Linked DNA regions of Alligator mississippiensis. The protein of the gene in region 1 purifies or fractionates together with the protein of each later gene. This does not show direct contact. Links are inferred from orthologs where the notes say so. Each region holds a gene or a part of one and is shown in the gene's direction. Other genes may lie near its edges.

Region 1 (7,803 bases):
CTGGTAGGTTCAGGTGAGATCATGGGTCATTGGGGGATGAGGTCACAAGGGGTTGATTTAGGCCGGGTTTGAGGTTGGTTGGCTCTTTGGGTTGAGGTTGGTTGGACTTGGGGTCATAGGTCACGCTCTTTCCACTTCAGACCGCCCCCAACTGTTCTCACCCAGGCCCCACTGGCCCTCACAAGATGGTGGCTTCTTCTCCACCCCTCTCACCCCCCTCCCCAACTCAGATTCCGCCTGGCCCAGAATCCCCCACTATCCCTGGACTTCTCCCAGGCCCTCTCCGACCTCCCAGACAACTACGGCCTGAGCTCCAGGGAGGACTACCTGCGCTTCCTGGGCATCTATGGCACCCACTACCTAGCCCTTGTCCACGTGGGTGGCCACCACCAGGAAATCAAGGCAGTGCCTGTGTGCCGGGTGGCACTGGATGGGCTCACAGTGGACCAGGTCCGGGACTGCCTCGACGTGGAGGTGGAAGCTGGGTTGGGTGGTGGGCAGGCCAAGGTGGACAGCATCTATGCCGTCTGTGAGAAGACCAAGGCGGCATTGGCCAAGAGCTTCCATCAGGTCTACACCGAGAGCCATGTGGAGGCAACCGGCGGCCATCACCACGTTGACTTCCTCCTCCAAGGAGGAAGAGGTTCTGGGGCCTATGCTCGTTGGGTGGAAGGCCTCAAAGCCAACCCTGGGCTCATCTCTTACACTCTGATGCCCATCCATGCCTTGGCAAGGAAGGGTGACCCACGGCGGGCCTCTCTCCAGAGGGCTGTGAGCCAGTATGTCCTTGATGGGGCGCTGTGGAGGAACTGCACCCATCCCTGCCCCCTGGGCACCCAACGAAGCCCGTGGGACCCATGCACCTGCCTGTGCTCAGAGGAGGTGGGGTGGGATGCATCCTGCTGCTCCCGGGAGCGAAGCCTGGGCCAGCTCATGGTGACGGTGGTCAATGCCAGTAGGCTCTACGGGGACCTCGGCACCCAGTCAGATGCCTATGTCAAGGTGTTTTATGGGGGGCAGGAGCTGCGGGCAGACACAGTGTGGAACAATGACAGCCCGGCATGGGGGGTGGGACTGGATTTTGGGGTGGGGCGGGTAGACGGTGAAGACGGGCTGAGGTTGGAGGTGTGGGACGAGGACAACGGGCATGATGATGACCTACTGGGGGCCTGTGGGGAGATGCCTGTGGCTGGCGCCCCCCAGTCTCGCACCTGCTATTTGGCCTATGGGCAGCTCCACTTCCTGTACCGCCTCCAGTGTGGGCCTGGCCTGGGTGGGCCCCGGTGCCAGGACTATGCCCCCCGGCCCCCTGAGATATAACTGCCCCCCCAGGGGGCTTCCCCTCTTCAGGTCCTTCAGCCCCATAACCACATGGACTGGGGCCACAAAGCGGGGAGGGGCCAGGAGGAGAGAGGGGGTGATGGGATGGGTCCACCTGACCCATCAATGACCCTTAGGTGATCCCAACAAATGATCCCATCCATAGCTCCACCTACCAATAATGGCAACCCAATCCTAAGCAAGGACACCAAACCTAACCCAGCCAACCAATGACACCAACCCAACTCTAACAAATGACCCCACCCCTAGCCCAACCCAACCCACCGATCTCCTTCCCTCAGGGCCTTCCCCTTCAAACCCTGTACACACATCCCTGGCAGGGAGGGAGTCTAATTAGGGTGACTTCCAAGGTTCGTTAGCAGTAATGAGACAACGGGCATCCGGCCTGTGGGGGGAATAAAGGCATTTGAGTTGACCTCCTGCCAAATGTGTGTGTGTGTAGCCCTCAATTGGGGGGCTAACCCCTCCACTACCCACAATCCCTTGGCCCCTCTCATTCCTGAAGAAGTCTCAAGAAACATGAATTTTCTTCAGAACTCCCCCCCATTTTATTGACTATTTTTCACCCCGCAACAGTGCCGGGGCCAGAGGAGGGGCAGCTACAGAGCTACCCACCCCGTGCCTTTCCTCACCCCTTTTTGACCACTCTGAGCCCCCTGGGACCTGAGGTTCCCCTGTATCCAACATGGCTGCCGAGTCGGGGTGGGTTCACTGGTTGTCCTGGCGATGGTTTCAATATGGCCGCCTAGGCCAAGAGTTTCCACTGGTTGCCTTGGTGATGGTTTCAATGTGGCTGCCTTTTGCAAGGGGTTCCACTGGTTGTCTTGGCAATGGTTTCAATAGGCCGCCTTTGCCAAGGGCTCAAAATGGCTGCCCAGACAAAGGTGTTGAGCATGGTTGCTATGGGCAGGGGGCCAATATGGCCGTCTTGGCAACAAAGTGAACATGGCTGAAATGGGGATGGTTCAGTATGGCTGCCTGGGCAGCGGGGGGGGGAGTGTCAACATGGTCACCATGGTGATGGTATCAATATGACTACCATGAGGAGGGTCAATGGGGTTGCCCAAGAAAGGGGTGGAGTTTGGTTCCTATAGGGGGTGGTCAAAATGGCTACCTTAGCAACAGGGTCACCACGGTTGCCATGGCAATGGGATGAACATGGTTGCCATCAGAGGGGTTCAATATGGCCACCCTGGCAATGGGCCCAAGATGGTGGCTGCAGGGAAAATTCAAAATGGCCATCTTGGTAATGGGGTGTCTAGGACTTCCAAAGGGGGGGTTCAAAATGGCCACCCTGGCAACAGGTTAAACCTGGTTGCCATGGGGGGGTCAAAAGGGTCGCCTTGACAACAGGGTCACTGAGGTCACCGTGGCAATAGCGAGAACATGGCCACCAGGCCCAATGGGTGGCAGCCATCTTGGTGTGTCTGTCCGTGTGTCCGTCTCCGTGTCGCCGTGTGCCATGGGGTCCGGAACCGGGTTCGCTAACGAGGCTCTGAGCTAACGAGGGGGGTGGGGTTAGTGTCGGCCATCTTGTTCCCTGCCATCCCCCATCCAGCCTGGCGTTGTGGCTGGCGGCCATCTTGGGCCCCATTACCACCATTTTGTGCCCACCCCAGTGCTGTTCCCCATTGCTGTGGGTGATGATGGCCATCTTAGCTCCACTGCCATGCCTTATGGTGGCCATCTTGACTCCTGGCCCATGCCTAATGGTGGCCATCTTGGTTATTACTTCCAGCCCCCTGCCATGCCCAAAGGCGGACATATTGACTTCTACTCCCACCTGTTTCCATGCCTAATGGCAGCCATCCTGATGCCTGGCCCGCTTCCCACAGCCTTGCCTTGTGGCAGCCATCTTGCTTGCTGCTCACCTCACTATTTCTGCACCCAGTGGCGGCCATCTTGGTTCCCAACTCTTTCCCCACTGCCGTGCCCAAGAGCTGCCATCTTGGTTCCCGCTCCCATCCCTAATGCCAGGCCCCGTGGCGGCCATCTTGACTCCTGCTCACTCCCCCATTCCCATCCCCCATGGCGGCCATCTCGGTTCACGCCCCGCTCGTTCCTGCGGGCAGCTGCCATCTTGACTCACCTGTGGGCAGGGCTCCGCTCACTCCTTGCCCGCCCGGCGCCGCTCCGATCGCTGCAGCTTGGTGGCCAACTTGCGCTCGTGCCCAGCTGGGCTGGGCCGGTTCGTGTGGGCTGCTGCCTCCCGCTTGGTACGCCCTTTCCGGCCTCTCCCATCAGGCACTGGGATGGCGGGGGGGGGGACACAAATGGGGAGGGGTCAGAGTTGGGTGTCCCCCACTCCCACCCGCAGCTCCCTGCACCAGTGCCCCCGCCCCCGCCCCGCAGCCCCCCACAGCAGTGCCCCCGCTCCCGCCCCGCAGCCCCCCACAGCGGTGCCCCCACTCCTGGGTGCTCTGGGAGGGGAGCGCGGAGCAGAGGGGCGGGAGCCGGACGCCTGGAGCCTGGCTGCCATCTAGTGACTTCGGACTTTATAGCCAGACTTTATAGCCAGGGATCGGGGCAGGGGGGGCCGGGCCCGGACGCTGGGTCCTCACCCGCGTAGCGCTCGGTCAGGCTGTAGTAGTCGCAGGCGTCCAGGTACCGGCCTTCAAAGGGCGTCGGGACCAGGCGGGCGGCATCAAGCCGGGCCGAGGCCATGGCCTATTGCAGGCGGGGTCGGGGGTCCTCGAGCTGGGGGTCCCTGGGGGCGTCGGTCTGTGCAGCAGGGGCTGCGTCCGGCTGTCTCCTGGGGCTGTTTGTGTCTCGCTGGGTCCTGCCCCCCCTTTATAGACCAGGCCCCGCCCCCATTGCATCATCCGTCTCCCCCCCAGGCACCCCCCCCCCCCCCCGTTCCTGCCCCACCCCCAGAACCTTAAAGGCACAGGGGGGCCCCACTGCTGACCTGCATCGCTCCCCACGGCGGTGCCCCCACGCCGAGCCCGCACCCCCCTACGGTGCCCCCACTCCCGCCCGCCCCGCCGGCCCCCGGCCAAGGTACACATGGGGAGAAAAACAACCTCGGGTCACGAGGGGAGACTGAGTCAGGACTCGGCTGAGCCCTCCCCCCCCCCCAGCCCTCCCCCCCCCTTATTGCCAGGCCTGATAGAGAGGCGCCTGAGCTGGGAATCATTAACTGGGTGCCCCCCCCGCAGCCCCTTCTGCCCACAAGAGTTTGTGGGGCTCCCCCATCAGACAACCCAGGGGGCCGGGCTCCCAGAATCCCCTGCTCCCACCCCCCAGGAAAGGGGGGACCCCCCATATTACAGGGGTACGGGGAAGGGGGGGCTATTTTGGGCAGGGTGTCGGCGCAGGATGGGCGATGCTGCACGTGGGGGAGCGGCTGCAGGTCGGGAGTGAGGGGCACCGCTGTTGCTGAGCGCTGGGGGTCGGGGTTTCAGGAGCGGGAGGGGCCGGGGAGCTGAAAACTACAACTCCCAGGAGCCCCGGGGAGACCCCGGCTCTATGGCGCAAGAGACTGGAAGGGCAACATGCGCGATGCGCATGCGCTGTCGTTCTGCGTGGGCCCTGGTGGCACTGTGCGCATGCGCAACCTCAAAGCGCTTCCTCAGGGACTGCAAGTCCCAGGCTGCCTCGCGAGCTTGGCTCCGCGCAAGCGTAGTTGGGCCCCGCCTCCCGCTGCCGCCCTGGGAACGTGGAGCCGCTCCTTCGCCGCCGCTTCAGGTCCGGTCCCGCCCGGAGGGCCCCGCGGTGCGTCTGGGCCTGGGGGCGACCGGGGGGCAGGCAAGCGGGGCCGGAAATGGGCGGTGGGGGGGCGCGAAGGGGGTGTCATGGTAAGCAGGTGAATGCGCATGCGCAGCTTGGAGGGGACGCGGGTGATGGGAGTGCGCATGCGTATTCGGCTTCTTGGACCCCCCCTCCCCCCGGTCCCAGGGCATTGTGGGAGTGTTGCCAACCCCACCAGTCCCGAGGCATTGTGGGAGTATGGACAACCTGCCCTCTGGCCACATGGCATTGTGGGAGTGTGGCCAACTGCTCCCTGTCCCAGGGCATTGTGGGAAAGTAGCAAACCCCCCACTGTGGGAGCATGTCCTTGACTCCCCCTCAGCCCCAAGGCATTGTGGGAGAGTAGCTTACTGGCACCGCAGCCCCAGGGCATTGTGGGAGATAGGCCATAAGTCCCCCCTCCAGCCCCAAGGCATTGTGGGAGCGTGAGCAACTCTCCTCCCCACCGCAGGGCATTGTGGGAATCCAGCTAGCCGCCCCCCCGACTAAACCTTCCCGCCGGGCGCCCCGCAGGCCCCGCCCTCTCCCGGCGGCCATGGCGCTGGTGTCGGCCGACTCGCGCATCGCGGAGCTGCTGGGGGAGCTGCACCAGCTCATCAAGCAGACCCAGGTGAGCTTCCCAGCATCCTCTGGGGTGGCGGGGGCCTTTCCCAGCATCCTCTGGGGTGGGGGGGGCCTTTCCCAGCATCCTCTGGGGCAGGCGGTGTGCGGCCGCCTCCCTGGGGCAGGCAGAGGAAGGAGCTGGGGGGCAGGGGGAGGTGTGTGGGGAGGGTTGTCCTATCCCCGCCTCCTACGGGCTACCCCAGAGGCTGCTGGCGAGGGGGCGGAGCCCTGGTAACCCCGCCCCCCGCAGGAGGAGCGTTCCCGCAGCGAGCACAACCTGGTGAACATCCAGAAGACCCACGAGCGGATGCAAACGGAGAATAAGAGTGAGACCCCCGCCCCGCACGCCTGGGTGCTTCCCAGAATCCCCCAGGGGTGGGGGTGGGGGTGGGGGAGGGGTTACAGCCCAGCCCGGACCCCTGGGTTTCTCCTTCGATGGGTCTGGCCCTGGACGCCTGGGTTTGATCTCCGATTGCGGGGGGGAGACGGAGCCTGTACGCCAGGGTTCAGCGTAACACGAGGTGGGGGGGCGGGCCCCCGGGTTCAATCAAGTATTGGGGGGGGCCGGACGCCTGGGTTCTGAACTGCACCCCCCCACCCCCCTGCAGTCTCCCCCTATTACCGCACCAAGCTGCGGGGGCTTTACACCACGGCCAAGGCGGATGCAGAGGCTGAGTGCAAGTAAGTTTGCCTCCCCTTGCCCCACCCCCACCCCAAATCCCCCCCCCCCCACTAGCGGTCACTAATGTCCCCCCTTTCTGCCCCCCCTCCCACACAGCATCCTGCGCAAGGCACTGGACAAGATCGCCGAGATCAAGTCCTTGCTGGAGGAGAGACGCATTGGTAAGCAATACCTAATCCCCTCCTCTCCCCCGGGACTCCCAGAATCCCCTGGGGCCTGACAAGAAGTGGTTGGACAGGGGCATTCTCCCCCGGGGCTAGTGGGGGTCTCTGGAGGGTATAGAAGCCTGGAACTCCCAGTATCCCTTGGGACCTGATACCTCCCAGAATCCCCTGGGGTCTGACAAGGGGACACAGACTTCCCAGCATCCCCTGGGACCTCAGCTGTAGGGGTCTCTGGGGGAACTGCCAGAATCCCTTGAGGTCTTGGGGTCTCCAGGGTGGGAGAGGGCCTGGGATATCCAAAAATTCTTTGGGGAGGGACAGGGGATGCGGGGTGGCTGGGCACAGACCTCCCAGAAACCCCTGGGGATATTGTGGGGGTCTCCCAGAAGCCCCTGGTACATAGGTCTCTCCACCGGCCCTGTTTCCCACAGTCCTGTGCAACGTGGATATCCAGGGACGGGGAGGACCCAGAAACCTCACTCTTTTCTTTTGCCCTCCCCACAACAGCGGCGAAGATCGCGGGACTCTACAACGACTCGGAGCCGCCACGTAAGACCATGCGCCGGGGGGTCCTCATGACCCTCCTCCAGCAATCGGCCATGACGCTGCCTCTCTGGATTGGAAAGCCCGGCGAGAAGTGAGCCCCCCACCTCTTGCTGCTTCCCCCTGCCCTGGGGGGCGGGGTTCATAGCCCTCCCCCACACCCCTAACTGCCCCCTGCTTGCAGGCCCCCACCTTTGTGCGGCGCCATCCCAGCTGCCAGTGACTACGTAGCCAAGCCCGGGGACAAGGTGGCCGCCCGGGTCAAAGCTGTGGACGGGGATGAGCAGTGGATCCTGGCAGAGGTTGTTAGTTACAGCCACGCCACCAACAAGTGAGTGGAGGGGAGTCCAAGATGTCCACCATGGGGTGGGACTTGCCAGCCTGGCTGCCAGGATGGCGAGGGAGGGGGGTTGGAGGGCTTCCAATATGGTTGCCAGGTCCAGGGCCCATCCAATATGGGCACCAGGGTGAAGGAGGACGGATTGGAAGACTTCTAATATGGCTGCCAGGGTGATGGCTCCTCCAAGATAGTCACTCTAGGCAGCCATGGGGGGTGGGGCGGGGGGAGGGATGACACTATGATACTGGGTGTCCTAGGGGCCACTCTAGCCAGCCAAGAGGGAACGGCATCTCTATTACCTCACTAGGGGGTTCCTCTGGCTGGGCAAAATGGTGACTCTATGGTGCTGGACCCCCCCTCCTCCCCCGGGGGCCCCTCTA
Region 2 (7,232 bases), on another chromosome or scaffold:
AGGATTTCCCATGTCCCCCAAAGCTACTAACGTAGTTTCATAAGTCACTGAAGTAGTAAATCACATGGCACTGTAATGGGCTTAGAAGGTCCCTTTCAGCTTGAAATCCTGTCACTTGCAGGGGACCAACTCTGGCAACGCTATGGCAGCTGATGCATCTGTCTGGTACACTTCCTAAAGCCCTGGTACTGGGAGTAGCTCAAACAAACAAACTTATGTTAAAGTAGTTCTTTCCTGGTTTCGTGACTGCAGAGAAAGGGCTTGGAAAGGGGAACCTGAGCACACCCTGAAGTAGCAGAAATCAGGAGGCAAGGTGTGTGCGAGTGGGGTGTGTTTATACATAGAGGCAATTATGACTGCCTGTTAAGGACCTGCCTAATGGATTTATAGCATGGGGCTCTCATATCCCCCTGAAGCTACTAACATAGCTTCTTACATTGCTGAAGTAGTAAACCATATGGCACTGTCAAGGGCTTCCAAGGTTCCTTTCACCCTGAAATCCTGTCCCATGCAGGGGGCCAGCTCTAGCAATTCCATGGCAGCCAATGCACTGTCTGGCAAATTTCTGAGTCACTTGAATGTACAGATTCTTGTTAAAGTAAATTCCTTCTTGGTTGAAGGATGTGCATGTGCAACTGCTGGTATGCACACAAACATATAAAGTAAGATCCAAGCAAAAATCATATGTGTGCACACGTGCCCACACATGTAGGACAGGTGTGCGATAATTATCGTATCTGCATAATTTCAACCCTTGTACAATGTACAATAGATAATGTTAAAAGTGTTCAAAACATACAATAATTTGAGGCCATTAATTGATGCAGCATACACAAAATCCAAATCACTCTAGGAGGATGGGTCTACAGGTCGCTGTACGGTGACATGTTGTAGTACTTCCTTTTGGAAGTACTAACACATGGTGCAGCAACTGTACCATACATGCGGTGCACAGTTAGATTTCACTGTTACTTCACTGTAGTGGCACGCTAAAACAGGGGAGCATGCTGCTAGTAAGGTAGCTGCCAATCACGTGTAGACTCACGTGATTGCTATGTCGCCATAGCACGCTGTATGGCAACATACGGCAATGTGTAGACACACCCAGAGAGTTTCAACTGACTTTCGGGTTTGCTGTCAGCGCTTTCTTATGACTGGCTGCCTCAAAATAAAGAAACACTTCCACATTGATGACCCAGTTGTCCCTCCCTCCCTGGGGAATTACGGTGACGGAACAGGTTTCCCTCAACTTATGGGGTACCTGCATTCCTGGAGAACACTGCATAAATTGAATTTGCATAAAGCAAATCTACTTTATAATGTAAGGAACAGGGAGAGGTTCCCTTGTTGGCTGCTCCCAGGGCCAGCTGGGGTGAGTGCGGACAAGCGGAGCCCCAGGCATTGTGGGGCGTGGCACTCACCTCAACCCTGGCTGTAGCGGCCCTGGGAGCTGCCAGCACCAGCTGCCTGCACCAGGGCATGGTGCAGCCCAGCAGCTACAGGGAGCTGGCATTAGTCATTCCCAGGACAGCTGCAGCAGGAGCTGGGGTGCGTGGGGCCAGGCAGAGCCCCGGGGGGCTTGGGGCATGGTGCAGCCTAGTGGCTGCCAGCAGCTCCCAGGGCTGCTGCAGCCGGGGCTGGGGTGAGTGCTGTGCCCAGGACTCCGCTTGTCAGCACTCATGCCAGCCGGCCCCAGGAGAAGCTGACAGGGGAACCTATCCCTATTTCTTACATTATAAAGTAGGTTCGCTTTATGCAAATTCGATTTATGAGGTGTTCTCCAGGCCTATGCTAATCACATATACATGAATTTCTCTCACATATAATGAATTTCAGGTACAAAAGGGTCACGGCATAAGAATGAATGTGCATAAATCGAACCTGCATAAATTGAGGGAAACCTGTGTTGCCAACTCTCATGGTTTTTGGCGTTGTTCTTAAAGCCTGTGCTTCAGGAATGTGAAAAACTTAGCTGTTTCTTTTACGTATGTACAAATACATATGCATAGATGCATGCACACAGATATAGATCTCCTGCTCTATATATAGAAATTCTAACATTATAAAAGCTTCTGTCTTTCTGTCTGACTTTATTCACACTCTGACTGGCTGACAAATAGCCAATGAGAATGCAAAGAAGCATTTGGACAGGAGGCTATAGAGCACCGCCATGATGGCAGGGACATGGGGGACGGAGTGGGGATGCGAGGCCACTGGAGCTGGCCTTGTCCCCCCCACTCCTTGAAGGTGATGGCGCTGGTGCCAGTATGGGGGGGGAGTGGGGCTGGGACGCTGCAGGGGGGCATGGCCACCAGTGCTGGCCTCGGCCTGCCCCTTACCCCTACTGTTGTTGCAGCCTGCAAGGCCCATATGGCAGGGGTGGGGGGAGAAGCAGGCCCAATGTGGCTATGGGGGGAGGGAAGGAGTGGGCCCGGGCCTGATGTGGGGGAGTGGGGTGGAGAACTGAGCCTGAGCAGTGCGCGGGGGCGACGACACACACAGGACGACAAGCCAGACATGGCCTGATGTAGCAGCGGCAGGGGAGAAGTGAGCTTCCTCCGGGCTTCGGGCCCACTCCTCCCTCACAGTGCCCTCCCCTGTGTCGGCCCCAAGCACACTCCTCCTGTCCCCCCACCGCCACTGGGTTGGGCCCAGGCCCACTGCTCTGCCTCCGCCGCAACAGCCTGGCTTCTCCCCATTCTTGGGCCTGGTCTCTCCCCTGCATTGAGCCTGGGCCTGCTCCTCCCCTCCCTCCTGCTATTCGGAGTGGGCCCAGACCCCAAGCAGCAGGAGGAAAGGGGGGAGTGGGCCCAGATGTGGTAAGGCATGGGGCTCCATCCCCGCCTGCTCCCCCATCATTCTTTGGGCAATTGGCTAGCATGTGTATACCCCCCCCACTCCTTGCTTAACGTTGTAGTTACATGCTTGAAAAATGCAACTTCAAGCGAAATGATGGTAAACAAATCCAATTATGTCACAGTAGTTACCCTCCTAGCAGGTGGCAGTCAAACAACCTTATAACCGAACACTGCATGACTTTAAACAAATATGTTCTTTAGTAGAGCAGCAACGTAATAATGAAACAACATTAACCAGGATGACGTTAAGCGAGGTGTACCTGTGTGTACGCACAGACCTACTGAGAGATAAAGATATATACACACACATCTATAGCTCTCTCGCTATACCTAAAGACACATCTATATGTATAACATACATGTATATAAAAAATACATAAACGAAAGAGCTAAGTCTTTTGCATTCCCCAAGCGTAGACTTTAAGACCAACGCCAAAACACAGGAGAGGGCAACACTGAAGTGAGCAATATCAAGTAAATAAGAACAAGCTTACTCGCATCCTTTTTTGTTTATTTGCTGGTTTGTGTGTTTCCTGCCTGCAACAGCTGGTCAGATATCACGGGCATTAGGAGCTTCCCATAGGATAATTTCACACCTAAAGGCCTGGCACCGTGCGAGCGCAGGTCCAGCCCCCCCCCGGCCGGGCACGCACCTGCAGCACGAAGAGGCGGGAGCTGGCGCCGAAGCGCAGGCAGTGTCCGACTTGCAGGCGGCAGTAGGCGCGCGGCGGCAGGCGGCGGCGGTTGAGGAAGGTGCCGTGCGCGCTGCCCAGGTCGCAGACGTAGAAGCCGCGCGCGGCGGCGGGCCCGGCGGTGCGGTACTGCAGCACGGCGTGGCGCCGCGACACGGACGGGTGCGCCAGGGCCAGCGCGCAGCCCGGCAGCCGCCCCACGGCCCACCAGCTGCGCCCCGCCAGCCGCAGCGCCGCGCCCAGCGCCACACCGCCCCGCACCGCCTCCAGCGCATAGCCCGCGCCCGCCGGCGGCTGCCCGCCCCACGCCGGCTCCTCGTACTCCGCCGGCCCCGGCCCCGGCTCCGGCTCGGGGGGCGCGGGCGCGGGAGGCCCTGGCCTCTTGAAGCCTTCCCGGGCCTCCTCCTCCTCCGCCATGGCGCCGCGTCCGTCTGCAAACACGGTCCGCCGCGCCGCCGTCCCCGCCGCTCGGGTTCCGCCCGCGCCGCCGCCTCAACTGCCCAGTCCCGGTCCTGACATTGGTCCCGGCCCGGCGAGGGGCCCCGGCAACGGGGCGGGGCTGAGTAGCTCCCACAGGCGCCGCCGGACCCTGGGGGACGCTTTTCGAAGGGACGCGCGGGGGGACGGCTTCCGGGTCGCGGACATCACCGACTTCCGGGTCGCGGGGGGGTCACCGACTTCCGGGTGGGAGCGCGGTGGGGGCAGTTGGCCAGCGGCGTGAGTGTTCGATGGTGACGTCACTCGCCTTCCCGCTGAGAAGGCGCTGGTGGAGGAGGGGTAGAACTCTTGACCTGCCCCCGCCCCTTACTGGCTCCTTTCCCCCACCCCAGCACACGGTGCAACAGGCCGTGGGCCCCACGAGGCCTCGCACCTGCTGTCACCCAGGAGCTGGCTGGGTTTCTGCTTCACGGGCTCAGATCCCCCCCTTTTTTTTTTTAGGAGAGAAAAACGGTAGCGTCCTGCCTCACTACTGGCGTCTCTCTTTCTATAGGGCAGCAAGCCACGCCTGGGTCCCCGGCTGTTAGAACGCTTTGAAGACCAGTGTGGCTCAAGCTTTGCCTGAAGCGAGGGCTTTTTCTTTGGTCTCAGTGTCAGGGTGGCACGAGCTTCCCCACCTTTGTGGCTCCCTCTTGGTGGCCGGCCCCCTGCGGCTTGGGGTTTGCACCTGAGAGATGTGGCACGCTGCTCTGTAGCCTCTCTCTGCCGCTGTCTCTGCGTACCTCATTTGCAGGAAGATGCTGCGCTACTGGGGTGAAATTCCCGTCTCGGCCAGTCAGGCCAACCGCAGCTCTTTTGATTTGCTTCAACGCGAGTTTCGCACGGTGGAAGTCCAAGATCCTCCATTGCATCAGCCCTCGGCAAACAAACCCAGACCCACCACCATGCTGGACATCCCATCGGAGCCCTGCAGCCTCACCATTCACACCATCCAGCTCATCCAGCACAACCGACGGCTACGCAGCCTCATCGCCATGGCCCAGGCCCAGAACCAGCAGCAAGTTGAGGGCATCAAAACTGAAGACAGCGAGCCTCTGCCCTCCCGTCCTGCTTCTCCACCTCTCCCCGATGACCTGCTTCCCCTGGATACCAAAATCCCCAAACTGCCATTTCAGCTGAGGCACAGTGACCCAGAGAGTGACTTCTATAGGTGCGTTGGTGGTACTGTGGTATAGGTTGTAGCCTTGTTGATCTAAGGACATAGGCAGATGTGGATCTTTGGGTAAACCTGATATCTCTTCTTAGACCAACTCAAATACTTGGAAAAATCCTTGCAAAGAAGCTGGAAAAAAGCAAAGAAGAATTTTTCCAACAATTTGAGTTGGTCTCGTAAAAGATATCGGTTTTACCCAACGAACCTTGTCTGCCTTGGTGTTTACTGTGGTAAAGATTGAAAAATCTGTGCTTCAGCCAGACCCGTGTATTTTGAATCTGGATTCCTGCGGGCAGCTCTCCGATTGGAGGGCTTGTTAGGGGGGAAGACTGTCACAGTAGAAAAAAGAAATTAAAGTCCATTTTTGTGTGAGCAAGGTGCAGGGCATTTTGCTTCCATGTGCTGTGGCTTCCTATCTGTAATGTGGACTGTAATGCTAGATTTCCCTCATCAGTCAGCCTTTTAGCCATTTATAGCACCAAGTTGAGATGGTAGTATTAGTACTTTGTAGTATTAATAGATGAGATGGCAATATTAGTTGAGATGGCAGCATTAGTACCTGATGCCTGAAGCTCTTGGGGAAACTTTATGGATCTTAAGAAATTAATTAAGTCCCTTGATGCCCTCATGGAGGAGGCGTTTATCCCCTTTCTAGAGGCAGGGGCAGAGTAGATGGTCCGAGTCGCCCAAGTTCCCAACTGTGTCAAAAATCCAGATCTTAATTGTGTGGTGTAGCACAAGATGTCATTAATATCTTTGTCCTGTTGATGTTTGTAGAAGCTCTCTGTGGTTTTGAAGTCTGAGAAGAGAAGCCCAAGTGAGGGTAGTTTGCAACTTGTTTAACTTAGCATGTGCTTCGCATAACAAATTCTTTCTAATTTAGCACATAACAAGCTTTTGAGTTTAGTCAAGTTTCTGTTGTACAACTTTGACATATTTTTGATCAGATTGTACTTTGTCTTAGAAAAAGGGCTGTATTTGTTATCATCTTGAAAAGGAAATGAGTTATTATACTATTTATAGTAATAACGTCTGAGCCTCGACAGGATTCAGACCTACAGACATCTTGACCAAAGTCTTTTTTTTACCCCCCACCCCACTGACTGCAGTGGATAAGAAGAGTAGGGAGACAATATTTAATGATCTCCACCAGGGGGAGTTTAAGGATCAGATTATGAAAACTTAATACAGCATAAATTGGAAGTGAAACGTTTGATGGGTCACAGAGAGGGGGGTTGTAATAGGCTGCGGTAGAGTTCGGAATGTGCTACAAAAAGCAGTTGAATTGCTTGTCTGACGAACCAAACAGACTTAAAGCTTTCCAGGAGAGGAATAGATCAATAAAGCATGAGCTTCGTTCTGTTCTAGTTCAGAACGGAGAAAATCCCTGCGATTTTAAGGTGCTCATATGACTAAGAATAGCAGCTGCATTCCTAGGTAGAGCATAATTGGAAGAATTGTCAGCCCTGTCTTTTTCACTACACAAAGATATAAAGACGACGGTAAAGATAATTTAGGTGCCAGAGAGATGGTATTAAGCTGCTGATGACTGAACTAATCCAATCCCCCTTTTGCACTGTTACACTTCTAGAAAGGGGTGCTTACGTGTAGTTATACAAAAATTAAGAGGTTTTTATTATTGAAATGAAAACAGTGACATAAAGCCCTAACATTTAAAATTTGATAACGTACGTTAGATTTATGATCTTTGAACTGGAGGTATCAAGCATTACATGGCTTCTGCAGCTTTCTTTCTCAATGCTATGGAATCAGCTTAAAAGAAACTCAATATACCCCCTTAATTTCCCTCCCCCTTCCCTCATCCCACCTAAACATCCCAAATGCTGCTGCTCTTCTCCCCCTGTCTGGTTTGCTGCTGCAGGTCTGTCTGGATTGATGCCGTTTCCTTCCTAGCCTGGTATAGGTACGAACTTTGCACTTCCAGTTCAGTTGCTGTTTCTGGATAGGGTACAGATGTGGCATTGAGAAGGTGGTTCATGTTGGGAATGCCAGCTAATGGTTAGGAATGGT

Evidence for each region. Proteins that work in one complex are often made in the same cells at the same time.
Region 2: the proteins of SGF29 (region 1) and SUPT7L purify together in Homo sapiens (affinity purification with mass spectrometry; 4 studies listed by BioGRID and IntAct, counting the BioPlex papers as one, with this or other methods). This does not show direct contact. The link is inferred for Alligator mississippiensis from reciprocal best matches to the Homo sapiens genes SGF29 and SUPT7L.

The regions. Positions count from the first base shown.
Region 1 is NC_081830.1:819,789-827,591, forward strand, and holds the start of SGF29 (SAGA-associated factor 29), read left to right. Parts: upstream 1-4,796; 5' UTR 4,797-4,809; coding exon 4,810-5,055; intron 5,056-5,542; coding exon 5,543-5,701; intron 5,702-5,944; coding exon 5,945-6,020; intron 6,021-6,302; coding exon 6,303-6,375; intron 6,376-6,472; coding exon 6,473-6,537; intron 6,538-7,047; coding exon 7,048-7,177; intron 7,178-7,267; coding exon 7,268-7,414; intron 7,415-7,803. Other genes in the region: perforin-1, read left to right, coding at 186-1,320; nuclear protein 1, read right to left, coding at 3,449-3,588, 3,903-4,005. UniProt on the Homo sapiens protein: Chromatin reader component of some histone acetyltransferase (HAT) SAGA-type complexes like the TFTC-HAT, ATAC or STAGA complexes.
Region 2 is NC_081824.1:175,112,293-175,119,524, reverse strand, and holds the start of SUPT7L (STAGA complex 65 subunit gamma), read left to right. Parts: upstream 1-4,202; 5' UTR 4,203-4,267; intron 4,268-4,273; exon of another isoform or gene 4,274-4,541; 5' UTR 4,542-4,785; coding exon 4,786-5,198; intron 5,199-7,232. Other genes in the region: SLC4A1AP (kanadaptin), read right to left, coding at 3,512-3,967.